Linked DNA regions of Stegostoma tigrinum. The protein of the gene in region 1 binds, or shares a complex with, the protein of each later gene. Links are inferred from orthologs where the notes say so. Each region holds a gene or a part of one and is shown on either strand. Other genes may lie near its edges.

Region 1 (5,737 bases):
GGTCCACTAGGCAATCACATTCCACACACAGATCCAAGCAGTCCAGTAGGGTCCCACAGTGATCAGTGTTGGGGCTCTTTATGTTTGTGGTTTATATAAATGATTTAGATGTGAATGTAGCAGGATTGATCAATAATTTCATGTATGAGACGAAAATAGGTTGGATGGTAAATAGTAAGTTACGGAAGGATATAGACAGGTTGGTCAAATAGGCTGATTTGATAACCGGTAGGACTCCAGCAAGCACCGAGGATCAGAGGGACTTCAGTGCGCACGTACACCAGTCCCTTAGGTTTGAGAACACAAAGTGGATACAGTCTCAGTGGGGCAGCATGGTGCTCAGCAGCTAGCTCTGCTGCCTCACAGTGTTAGGGACTTGGGTTCAATTCCACCCTCAGTGACAGTGTGTGGGGTTTACACATTCTCCCTGTGTCTGCTTGGGTTTTCTCCAGGTACTCCAGTTTCCTCCCACAGTTCAAAGATGTGCAGATTAGGTGGATTGGCCATGCTAAATTGCCTGTAGCGTTCAGGTATGTGTACCTTAGGTGGATTATAGCAGCATGGGTCTGAGTGGATGCTCCAAGTATCAGTGTGGACTTGTTGGGCTGAAGAGCCTGTTTACACACTGTAGGGATTCTATGATCTTTGACAGAACAAAACAATTTAAGACAGATAAAGAAAAAATTATTTTCTCAGACAGTTGAGTATCTTTAGAACTTTTTGCCACCGAGAGCTGTGGGGGTACAGTCCTTGTGTATATTAAAGGCTGAGATAGATTCTTGATCAGTAGGGGTGAATCAAGGGTTATGGGGAAAAGACAGGAAAGTGGATGAGAGGAATGTCAGATCAGTCATCATCCTAATGCATGGCAGAGCAGGCTCAAGGGGCTGAATGGCCTACCGCAGTTCCTATTTTTAATGGATCTCTGTAAAACATTACAAAAATGTAAGACACCCAGCTCTATAAAATCAACGTTCTTTGATCTTTTAACGAAGGAGGGTTGGCTGATTTAATATTTTTCAAGGCCAATAACCCATTCTCATATCAAATATACCATTTGCTCCTCATCTCAAAGTTAATTTGGTTCTGAGACTATGCTGTCTGGTCCTAGACTCTCCCATGAAGGGAAATATCCTTTTAGCGTTGACCCTGTCAAGCCCCTTAAGAATCGTACACTTATTCTTCTAAACGCTAGTGAGTAGAGTTCAAACCTGTTTAGCATTTGCTCATCAATCCTCCATACCAGGCATCACCCCAGTGAATGTTCTCTGAACTGCATCCAATCACACAACTTCCCTTGAGTAAGGGGACCAAAAAGGTTCAGTACCCCAGGATTGGTCTCACCAGCACCATATGCAGATGCTGTAGCTAATAAGATCATGTGTAATTGCTGGTGTTGGGATCTTGCTGTGCTGAATCTGCTGCTGATTTCCTACATTACAACAGTGCCAACACTTCGCAGCCTGCATTCTCCCAGGAACCTGCTGCAGCAGTGTGGCTTCCTCTACATTGGGGAAACCAAGTGGAGGCTTGGGGACCGCTTTGCAGAACACCTCCGCTCGGTTCGCAATAAACAACTGCACCTCCCAGTCGCAAACCATTTCCACTCCCCCTTCCATTCTTTAGGTGACATGTCCATCATGAGCCTCCTGCAGTGCCACAATGATGTCACCCGAAGGGTGCAGGAACAGCAACTCATATTCCGCTTGGGAACCCTGCAGCCCAATGGTATCAATGTGGACTTCACCAGCTTCAAAATCTCCCCTTCCCCCACCGCATCCCTAAACCAGCCCAGTTCGTCCCCTCCCCCCACTGCACCACACAACCAGCCCAGCTCTTCCCCTCCACCCACTGCATCCCAAAACCAGTCCAACCTGTCTCTGCCTCCCTAACCTGATCTTCCTCTCACCCATCCTTTCCTCCCACCCCAAGCCGCAACTCCATCTCCTACCTACTAACCTCATCCCACCTCCTTGACCTGTCCGTCTTCCCTGGACTGACCTATCCCCTCCCCACCTATACTCTCCTCTCTACCTATCTTCTTTTCTCTCCATCTTCGGTCCGCCTCCCCTCTCCCCCTCTCCCTATTTATTCCAGAACCCTCACCCCGTCCCCATTTCTGATGAAGGGTCTAGGCCCGAAACGTCAGCTTTTGTGCTCCTAAGATGCTGCTGGGCCTGCTGTGTTCATCCAGCCTCACATTTTATTGTCTTGGATTCTGCAACATCTGCAGTTCCCATTATCACTGCTGCAGCAGTCTGTTTGGACGCTTGACTCCCAGCAAGACCCGCGCAGCTGCCCCAAACAAAGATGGCGGCGACCACGACAACACTCAGCACTTTCGGGGCCCACGTGATGGACTCAGGTTAAAATCAATTACTGCTGGGAACGGTAGATTCAACGCGGAGTTGTGATCAAACCTTTGAATTTTTTTAAAAAAAAGGAGGTGGCGAGGCCGGCGTCGGTCGCGCGGGTGAGACTGCCATTGACGATCGCAGCGGCATCAGGGCGGAGAGCATCGGCCTGTACATGTACGGTGCAGCCCGGTTCGGTGAAAGTGCGAACAGGAATCGAAAACACAGAGCAGAACGGAAAATGGCGTCTCTGAACGAGAGGTCCGTGTGGGATGAGGTGGAGGTGAGATATAGAAATATAACAATATAAAGGTAGACAGTCATATTATTGTATAATATTGAGAGAGAGAGAGAAAAGGAGAGGGAGAGAAGTCAACTGAGGTGAGGTGAAGTTAAGAGAGAGAAATGTATGAAGTTAGCTCGGTCCATTAGGATGAGGTGGAGGTGAGGGAGAAATAGATTCCAGTGTAGCACAGAGATGGAGTATGGGGATGGTTTGTGTTAACTTTTGACAAACTCCAAGATTCAGGAATGGTTCATTTGGACTGGAAAGTAACAAATATAAATCCATTATTTAGGAAGCGGGGATGGGGGGGGGCGGAGGTGTAGAGAAGGAAACTATCGGTTAAAGGTAAGTAAGAAGTGCTGATGCTGGAGTCAAAGATAGTGTGGAGCTGGAGGAACATAGCAGGCCAGGCAGCATCAGAGGAGCAGGAAAGCTGATATTTCGGGTTGGGACCCTTCTTGTGGTGTAGTGGTAATGTCCCTACCCCTGGATCTGAGTGGCCTGCGTTCAAGCCCCACCTACTCCAGAGGATTGTAATAGCATATCTGAACAGGTTGATTTAGAAACTATGCGTGAGTTACTTGTTATGTCAGTTGTGAAAATTGATCACCTCAGGAATATATGCTTGAGGGTGTTAAACTCAAGCTAATCTGGAAGAGTTGGCTTTTTTGTTTTCATGACAGGGAAATTGTGAGTGATTAATTTATTGGAATCCTTTTGAAGGTGGAACATGCTGTGGAGAAATGGGAACCTGTCGATGTACATAGTTAGATTTCCAGAAGACAACTGAAAAGATGTCAGGTCAAAGCACAAAACAAAAGCTTATGTGTAGGGGATAACATATTAGCATGGATCGAGGATCAACTGGCTGATTTTTGAAAGAGCATTTATGAATGGGTTTTTGTCTAATCGCAGGATACGACGAGTGAAGCCCCACGGGTGTGTGCTGAGACCTCAACTTCTTAGACTTTACATCAGTGACTAAGATGAGGGGAGTGAAGGGCCATGATAATTAAATTCCTGTTAATATATAAATAGGAAGTATGTTGTGAAGAGAACAAAGAGAGTTTTCAAATGGATACAGACAGATGAGTGAGTGGGCAAAAATCTGGCACATGGAGTATAATGTGGGAAAGTATGAAGTGCTTCACCTTGGCAGGAAGAATGGGGAAAAAAAATCAATTTTGATCATTTGGAGAATGACTGCAGATGTCCGTGGTGTAGAGGGATTTAGGTGTTCTAGTAAGTGTGAGTGAGTCACAAAAAAATAGTATTAAGGTACAGTATGTCATCAAGAGGACTGGCCAGTAGTTAGTGTTCCTCTGTTCAAGTAGGGATAATCCAAGAAATTATAGACTGGTGAGTCTCGCATTAGTGGTTGGCAACCTGTTGGAGAAGATCCTTAGGGATGGGATTTGGGTGCATTTTGCCTAATTAGGGACAGTAGAGCAGAACAGTGGATGTCATGTATGTGGATTTTAGTAAGGCTTTTGACAAGGTTCCCCATGGTAGGCTCATCCAGAAGATTAAGATGCACAGGATCCACAGCGATGTGGCCATTTGGATTCCAAATTGCCCTTTGTCTTCCATGCACAAGTCAGTGGTGGAAGGCTGTTTTTCTGGCAAGAAGTCTGACTAGTGGGTGTTCTGCAGGGAACTGTACTGGGACCTCTGCTGTTTGTGATATATATAAGTATAGCTCAGTATACTTTCAAAGTATACTTTGAAAACGTAGGTGCTTAGGTTAATAAGTTTGCAAATAAAACATCGGGGGAGTTGTTGATAGTGGAGTAGGTTCTCTGAGGAAACTGCAGGAGATAGATCAGTTGCAGAAATGGGTGGGGAAATAGATGGTTTAATCCAGGGAAGTGTGAAGTATTGCACTTTGGGAGATCAAATTTTCAGGGAAAGTATGTAGTTAATGGTAGGATCCTTAACAGCATTGATGTACAGAGAGATCTTGGAGTCCCAGTTCATAGCTCCCTGTAAGTGGCCCCACAAGTAGATAGGGTGGTAAAGAAGGCTTATGACATACTTGGTTTTATTGGTCAGAACATTGAGTACAAGAGTTAGGATGTCATGTTGCAGCTTTGCAAAACTTTGTTAGCCTGCACCTGGAGTATTGCATTCAATTCTGGTTGTCACAGTACAGAAAGAATGTGAGGCTTTGCAGAGGGTGCTGTTTCGCAGGATATTGCTTAGATTAGATGGTGTGAGCTATAAGGAGATGCTGAACAAACTCGGGTTGTTTTTTCTGGAGTGGTGGAGGCTGAGGGGAGACCTGATAGATGAATATAAAATTATGCTGTGCATGAATAGGTTTAACAGTCAGAATCTTTTTCCCAGAGTTGAAATGTCTAATATGAGAGGGCATGCAATTAAGACAAGAGGGAGAAATTTCAAAGGAGATTTGAGGGGCAAGTTTTTTTTTGCAGTGTAATATATGCCTGGAACGTTCTGCCAGGGACAGTGGTGGAGGCAGATACAGTAGGGGTGTTTTAAGGGGCTTTTAGATAAGCACATGAATATGCAAAGAATGGAGGGATATGGACCATGGGTAGGCAGAAGGGATTAGTTTAATTTAGCATCAGGTCTGGCACAGCATGTGGGTCGAGGGGCCTGTCCCTCTGCTGTACTGTTCTGTGTTCTAAAAGGGTTAGTGGGATGTTATCTTTTTCTTACAACAGGAATTTAATATTAAAGTAAGGATGTGATTCAGTTATACAGGACATTGTTGTGACTATGTCTTGAATACTCTGCGCAGTTTTAGTTTTTTTTATTTAAAGAAGGATGTAAATGTTTTGGAGGTGGTTCAGAGAAGTTTCACTCGATTGATATCTGAAATCAGTGGGTGGTCTTATGAGGAAAGTTTGGGCAGTCTGGGCTTGTTTCCACTGAGGTTTAGAAGAGCGAGGGGTGATTTGATTGAAGTATATAAAACCATTCTGGACCTTATCAATGTTGATGTGGGAAAGGATGTTTCCCTGTTTGGGTGAATTCCAAACCAGGGGTCACTCTTTCAAAGTGAGGGGTCACCTTTTCAGGGCAGAAATGAGGAGAATTGTTCTCTTAGAGTTGTGAAACTTTGCTGCCTCTG
Region 2 (5,737 bases), on another chromosome or scaffold:
ACTTACGTTTTTGAATAAACCTGTTGGACTATAACCTGGTGTCGTATGATCACTGAGTAACAAAGAGAAGGACAGGCTTGTGGTCCACCCCCGCTCCTTCATGATGTTTCCCAGACTTTATCTTCCTTCTTGAAGCTTTTCAGAATGGACGTTGTATTCAAGTAACATTTGCCAGCTGCTCCATGTTAACTGCCAATTAATTGGATATTTGCCTGTCACTTCAGGAGCTTTTAAGCTCCTCATTACAGGAAATAAAAAGAATGTTGATTTTTGAACATTTCAAACCAAGTTATGTGTTACACCTAATATTAGAATTGTTTAGCCAACAAGTTGTGTCTTAATGTGTTGATTCAATCCACATTCCAGTGTCTGCTAATGTCTGTACCTTTGATTCATTTCTCCCTGGAATGATATGGGGAGGGGGTGGAGGGGTGGTGCTGCTTTACTGTCTGAAACTTGTTTGAATCTTTTCTTCTAGATAACAAAGTGTTGAGCTGGATGAACACAGCTGGTCTTGCAGCATCTTAGGAGCTTGTAATGCTTTTAGTGATTTTTTTTTGTAGATAGGTGAATCTATAATTGCTTTGGAATCTATATGATTATTTGAGGAATCTTAACTAAAACCTACTCTTAGTATTATCACAGAATGATTTCATAATTCAAGAGAAACAACTAATTAGTGTGAAACGTTCTATGTCTTGTGCATGAGCAACTGCAGCTGCATATTCTATCCGAGTCCAGTAATCATGAGTCTACAGAGCTACTATTGTTCCACTTGCAAAGACCACATTAAGCAAATATTTTCCCAAGACCTCCAACTACTGTCAGCCATGTTCTGCTGCATTAGCCATGGACAGCCATCAGCCATTTTGTGCTGCTTAGTCATGGGCATCCCTAATATCATATAATCAAAAAGTGTGCACTGTGTTAAAGGAGGCAATTCAACATCCATTATCTGCTTACCATCTTGCTGGAAGAGTAGTTCCTAAGCCCTTCCCCTGTAGATCTGCAAATTACTTTAAATCAACCAATTATCCAATTCTCTTTTGAATACCTCAGTTGAATCCTCCAACATTGCTGTGTAGATGTGCTGGGCAGAGCCGATGTGGTGTATAAACACTGGCAAGGACTAGTTTTTGTAGTGTGTTTTTGTCTGGTTCCTGTGCCTTAAGGCTAGAATATGGCTGTGAAGGTAGTAGGAACTGCAGATGCTGGAGAATCTGAGATAACTACGTGTAGAGCTGGATGAACACGGCAGGCCAAGCAGCATCAGAGGAGCAGGAAGGCTGACATTTTGGGCCTAGACCCTTCTTCAGAAATTTGCTCCTCTGATGCTGCTTGGCCTGCTGTGTTTATCCATCTCCACACCTTTTTATCTTAGAATATGGCTTTGTTTGATTTGATTTATTACCGTCACGTGCACCAAAGTACAATGAAAAGTGTCGTCTTATGTGCTATACAGGCAGATCGTACTATATCGTTGATTACAAAGTGTGGAGCTGAATGAACGCAGTAGGCTAAGCAGCTCCTGAGATGCTGCTTGGCCCGCTGTGTTCATCCAGCTCCACACTTTGTTGTCTTGGATTCTCCAACATCTGCAGTTCCCATTATCTCCAGGACTATATCGTCGTTGAGACTGAAGCAGCTGATCTGCTGGCGAATGAAATATCCAGCCCTTGAGTACAGTGGAGCTGGGATCTTCTATACATGTCAGAGAAGTGCAATACCGCTCTACAGCTTTAGGAGGCAGCACATAGCGCCCAATGACACAGCACTTCCGCTCAGCTGCGCCTCAACCAAACATGACAAAGGATGGCTTACGTCATGATGATTGACGGTTGGGTTAACCATTCAGGAGCCAGAATAAGCTAGGCGGGGACTGAGTAAATCAATGGGGATTGAGGAGGGTGGTTTCAGGTTAGGTTGTGGCGGCCGTTACATGGTGCTGACTTTCGGTGGACGTTAAATTCAAGAAAGGAAGGGAAAAAGAGGCAGAAGCGGTGTCTGGTCTAATTTTCCGTCATGTCGGCCTCAGGAGCGTTGTTCCCCAGCCTGGTAGCTGGGAGCCGTGGCTCTTCCAGTAAATACCTGGTGGAGTTCCGAGCCGGCAAGATGTCGCTGAAAGGCTCGACAGTGACTCCGGACAAGCGCAAGGGGCAGGTTTATATCCAGCAGACTGATGACTCTCTCATTCACTTCTGCTGGAAGGACCGCACCGCCGGCACCGTGGAGGATGTAAGGAAACAAGCCCGTCCTCACACTCCTCCCCCAAAGCCGGGATTGGGAAGGGGTAGTCTAGTGTACTGAAGGGGTTACGGTGGGGAGATGAGGTGCTGTGGGGGATGGGGGGGTGCGTGAATGCGTTGGGAAGGAGGCTGGAGGCTGGGTAAGGAAGTGGGGGGGGGGGGGGGGGGGGCGCGAGAGAAGGGCTTAAATCACAAATTATTTTGAGTAGGAATGGCTTTATGTTTGAGGATGAAGTAAGGAGTTATGGGGTTGTAGGGTTGAGTGTAGGGGGACATTTTTTTGGGTGGTGTCTTTTGTTTGGAGGTCGTATGTGAAGGAGTTGGTTAATTTTTCTTAATGTGATAGTTGGTGTATGGATTTAGAGCGGATGGGGAGTTGAGAGTTCAGAGGTTGGTGAATTGGCTATTTATGTGATAGGGTGGTTGTAGAAAGGGTGTTGAGTTGGCTAGTTTGTGTCGTGCAGGCTGGGTGAAGACAGTGGTGGGGACCGGGAGTTGGAGGGGAGGGGGGGACACTGTTGGTGTGAGAATGGAATTTGCAGGTGATGGTGTAGTAGTTGTTTCAGTTGGAACGGAGTTTCTAACCAAAGTTTTGTCTAAACAATAACCGAAGAATAGCGGATGCTGTACATCAGGAACAAAAACAAGTTGCTGGAAAAGACCAGGTCTGGCAGCATCTGTGAAGAAAAGAACAGAGTTCATGCTTTAGGTCTGGTGACACTTCCTCAGAACGTTCTGAGCTGTGCAGTAGTTTGAAACTTCATGGGTACTGGTTGCCCCCTTGAAATTACTGTGTGTGTATGTGGCCTTTTTCTTTAAACGAAAGGGGAACAGGGTTAGATTGTATGCTGTTTGTGATTGCTAGGGGTGGAGACATTGCTTATGACAAATATCCTTGTTTTTGTTACTTATGGAAAGTTGCCAATTTTGCCAGGTACAAAACAAAGTCATGGGACAGGATGTTCACAGTTTCACATTTCATAGAGTCATAATGTCAGAGATATATAACATGAAAACAGACCCTTCAGTCCAACTTGTCCATGCTGACCAGATATCCTGTATAAATCTACTCGCATGTGCCACTATTTGGATCATATCCCTCTAAGTCTTTCCTTTCCATATACCCATTCAGTTGCCTTTTTAAAAGTTGTATTAGTACCAGCCTCCTCCATTTTGGCAGCTTGTTCCAAGCATGCACTGTTCTCTGTGGAAAAAGTTACCTCTTAGATCCCTTTTATATCTTGCCCCCTCACCTTAAACCTAGTTTTGAGCTCCCCCACCCTAGGGCAATGACCGTGTCTATTTACCCTATCCATGCCCGTTGTGATTTTATAAGCCTGTGTAAGGTCACTCCTCGGCATTCGACGCTTCAGGGAATATAGCCCCCTGCCTATTCAGCCTCTCCCTTTTGCTCAAACCCTCCAACTCTGGCAAAATCCTTGTAAATCTTTTCTAAGTTTCACAATATCCTTCTTATTAGGAGGGAGACCAGAACTGCGTGCAATAATGCAAAAGTGGCTGAACGAACTTGTTCTGTTGCTCATAAATTCATTGAACAATTTAGTTGATCAGACTTAATGCATCATGTAATGTGTCAAGCTGCAGAGGTCAGATGGTCTTGATGTCTGGGTTAATTAGCTATTGGAAATTCTTGTCGCAAATGCTGCCTGTGCTGAGGAGACCAAATTTGTTTTTAGCCATCATGCACTTTAAAGTTTAAGGGCCTGAAATGTTAATTGCATTTCTCATTTAAAGTTGTGACCTGATATATTGTGAATTTTGAGCATTTCATGTTTTTCTTTTGTCTTAGCATATGAACATGAGTTAGACCCAAGTGCAGGCCATTCAGTCCCTCAGGCCTGCCCTGCCGTCCGAAAGATCTCAGCTGATTTGGTCAGAATCTCAAATTTGACATTCCTGCCTACCCTTATTTATGACTTTGCTTGACAAGAGTCTGTCAACCTCTGCTTTTAAAATAGTCAAGGACTTTGCTTCCACTATCCTTTCAGGAAGTGATGCAAAGGCGCTCAAGCTTGAGTGAAAAGAATTCTCGTCTCGTCTAAAACCATAAGACAAAGCACCAGAAGTAGGGCGTAAGTAGCCCATCGAATCTATTCTGCCATTCAGTGAGATCATGGCTGAGCTGACAATCCTCAACTTTGTTTTCCCACCTTTTCCTATACCCCTCAATTTCCTTACTGATTATAAATCTATTTTACCTTAGAATAGACTTTGGTCCAGCCTTGACTGCCCTCTGTAATTTTAAAAAATCCACAGATTTGCTACCCTCAAAGGAACTTCCTTATCTGCCTTAAATGTGCAACCTCTGAGATTATGGTCCTGGATCTATTCTCTCCTGTGAAGTAAAACAACTTTTCCACATTTACCCTTTCAAATCCCCTAGAAAATTTGTACATTTCAATAAGGTTGCCTATCATTCTTCTGATTTTTCAATGAGTATAGAAGCACATTACCAGGAATAGCAGGACTCTCCTTTTTTTAAAAAAAAGTAAACCTGTTATAAACATATCAGACAATAAGGCTGCTGTCTCATTAGAGAGAGATGATGGTTATTTAACCTGAAGGTTACTATACTTAAGGCGAAGAGTGGTTGAGAATCTGAATCCTTCATGGTAACCTTAGCCAGTGTGGGAGTTGAATCCATGCTGTTGGCATCACTCTGCATTACAGACCAGCTGTCCAGCTAATTGAGTTAACCTTGGGCTTGGATGGGGAGGAACTGAAGTGTTCAGGAAAACGTTCTCAATCAATGTATAGATGGCCCTACTAGAGAAGGAGTGAAACTCAACCTCCTCTTGGGGAAATGGCTGAGATGTTCATGAGGGAGCACTCTGCAACCAGTGACCGTTGTATTATTATTCAAATAATAATGAAAAATGGCAGGTCTAATGCATAAGTTTAAGTTCTAAATTGGAGTAAGGTGAATAATTGCATTTTCAGTAACTTTCAAAAGTTGATTGGGGGTGGCAAGTAAAGGAATGTCTGGCCAGTGGGAAGCTTTCAGAAGAGACATAATGAGAGTTCAGGCCCAGCATGTTCCTCTTAGTGAGAAGGGCAAGGCTGGTAGAAGTAGGGACACTCTGACTGGAGATATTGAGGCTCTGGACAAGAAAAATGAGGAGGCATGTGCCAGGTATAGTCGCTGGGATCAAGTGAATTCCTTGAGTATAGGGAGTATAGAAGAGATCAGGAGGGCAAAAAGGGGACCTGAGAGCTTCGGCAGATAAAGTAGAAGAGAATCTGAAAAATTTGTACAAGTATATTAAGGGCAAAAGAGAAACTAGGGAGACAATAGGGCCCTTTAAAGATCAGTGAGGTTGGCCATGGGTGAGATCTGAAACTAACATTTCTTGTCAGTATTTCCCATGGCGAACGATATCGAAGCTAAGGAACTTGGGAAATAAAGAGTGATGCTTTGAAAAGTCCACATTACAAAAGGGGTGGTGCTGGAGGTCTTCAAACCTGTAAAG

What was found.
Region 2: psmc3 (region 1) and adrm1 share a complex: the UniProt entries of both Homo sapiens proteins name them as parts of the 19S proteasome regulatory particle complex. The link is inferred for Stegostoma tigrinum from reciprocal best matches to the Homo sapiens genes PSMC3 and ADRM1.

Annotation. Positions count from the first base shown.
Region 1 is NC_081370.1:11,567,337-11,573,073, reverse strand, and holds the start of psmc3 (26S proteasome regulatory subunit 6A), read left to right. Parts: upstream 1-2,337; 5' UTR 2,338-2,529; coding exon 2,530-2,637; intron 2,638-5,737.
Region 2 is NC_081372.1:18,364,630-18,370,366, forward strand, and holds the start of adrm1 (proteasomal ubiquitin receptor ADRM1), read left to right. Parts: upstream 1-1,888; 5' UTR 1,889-2,022; coding exon 2,023-2,235; intron 2,236-5,737. UniProt on the Homo sapiens protein: Component of the 26S proteasome, a multiprotein complex involved in the ATP-dependent degradation of ubiquitinated proteins.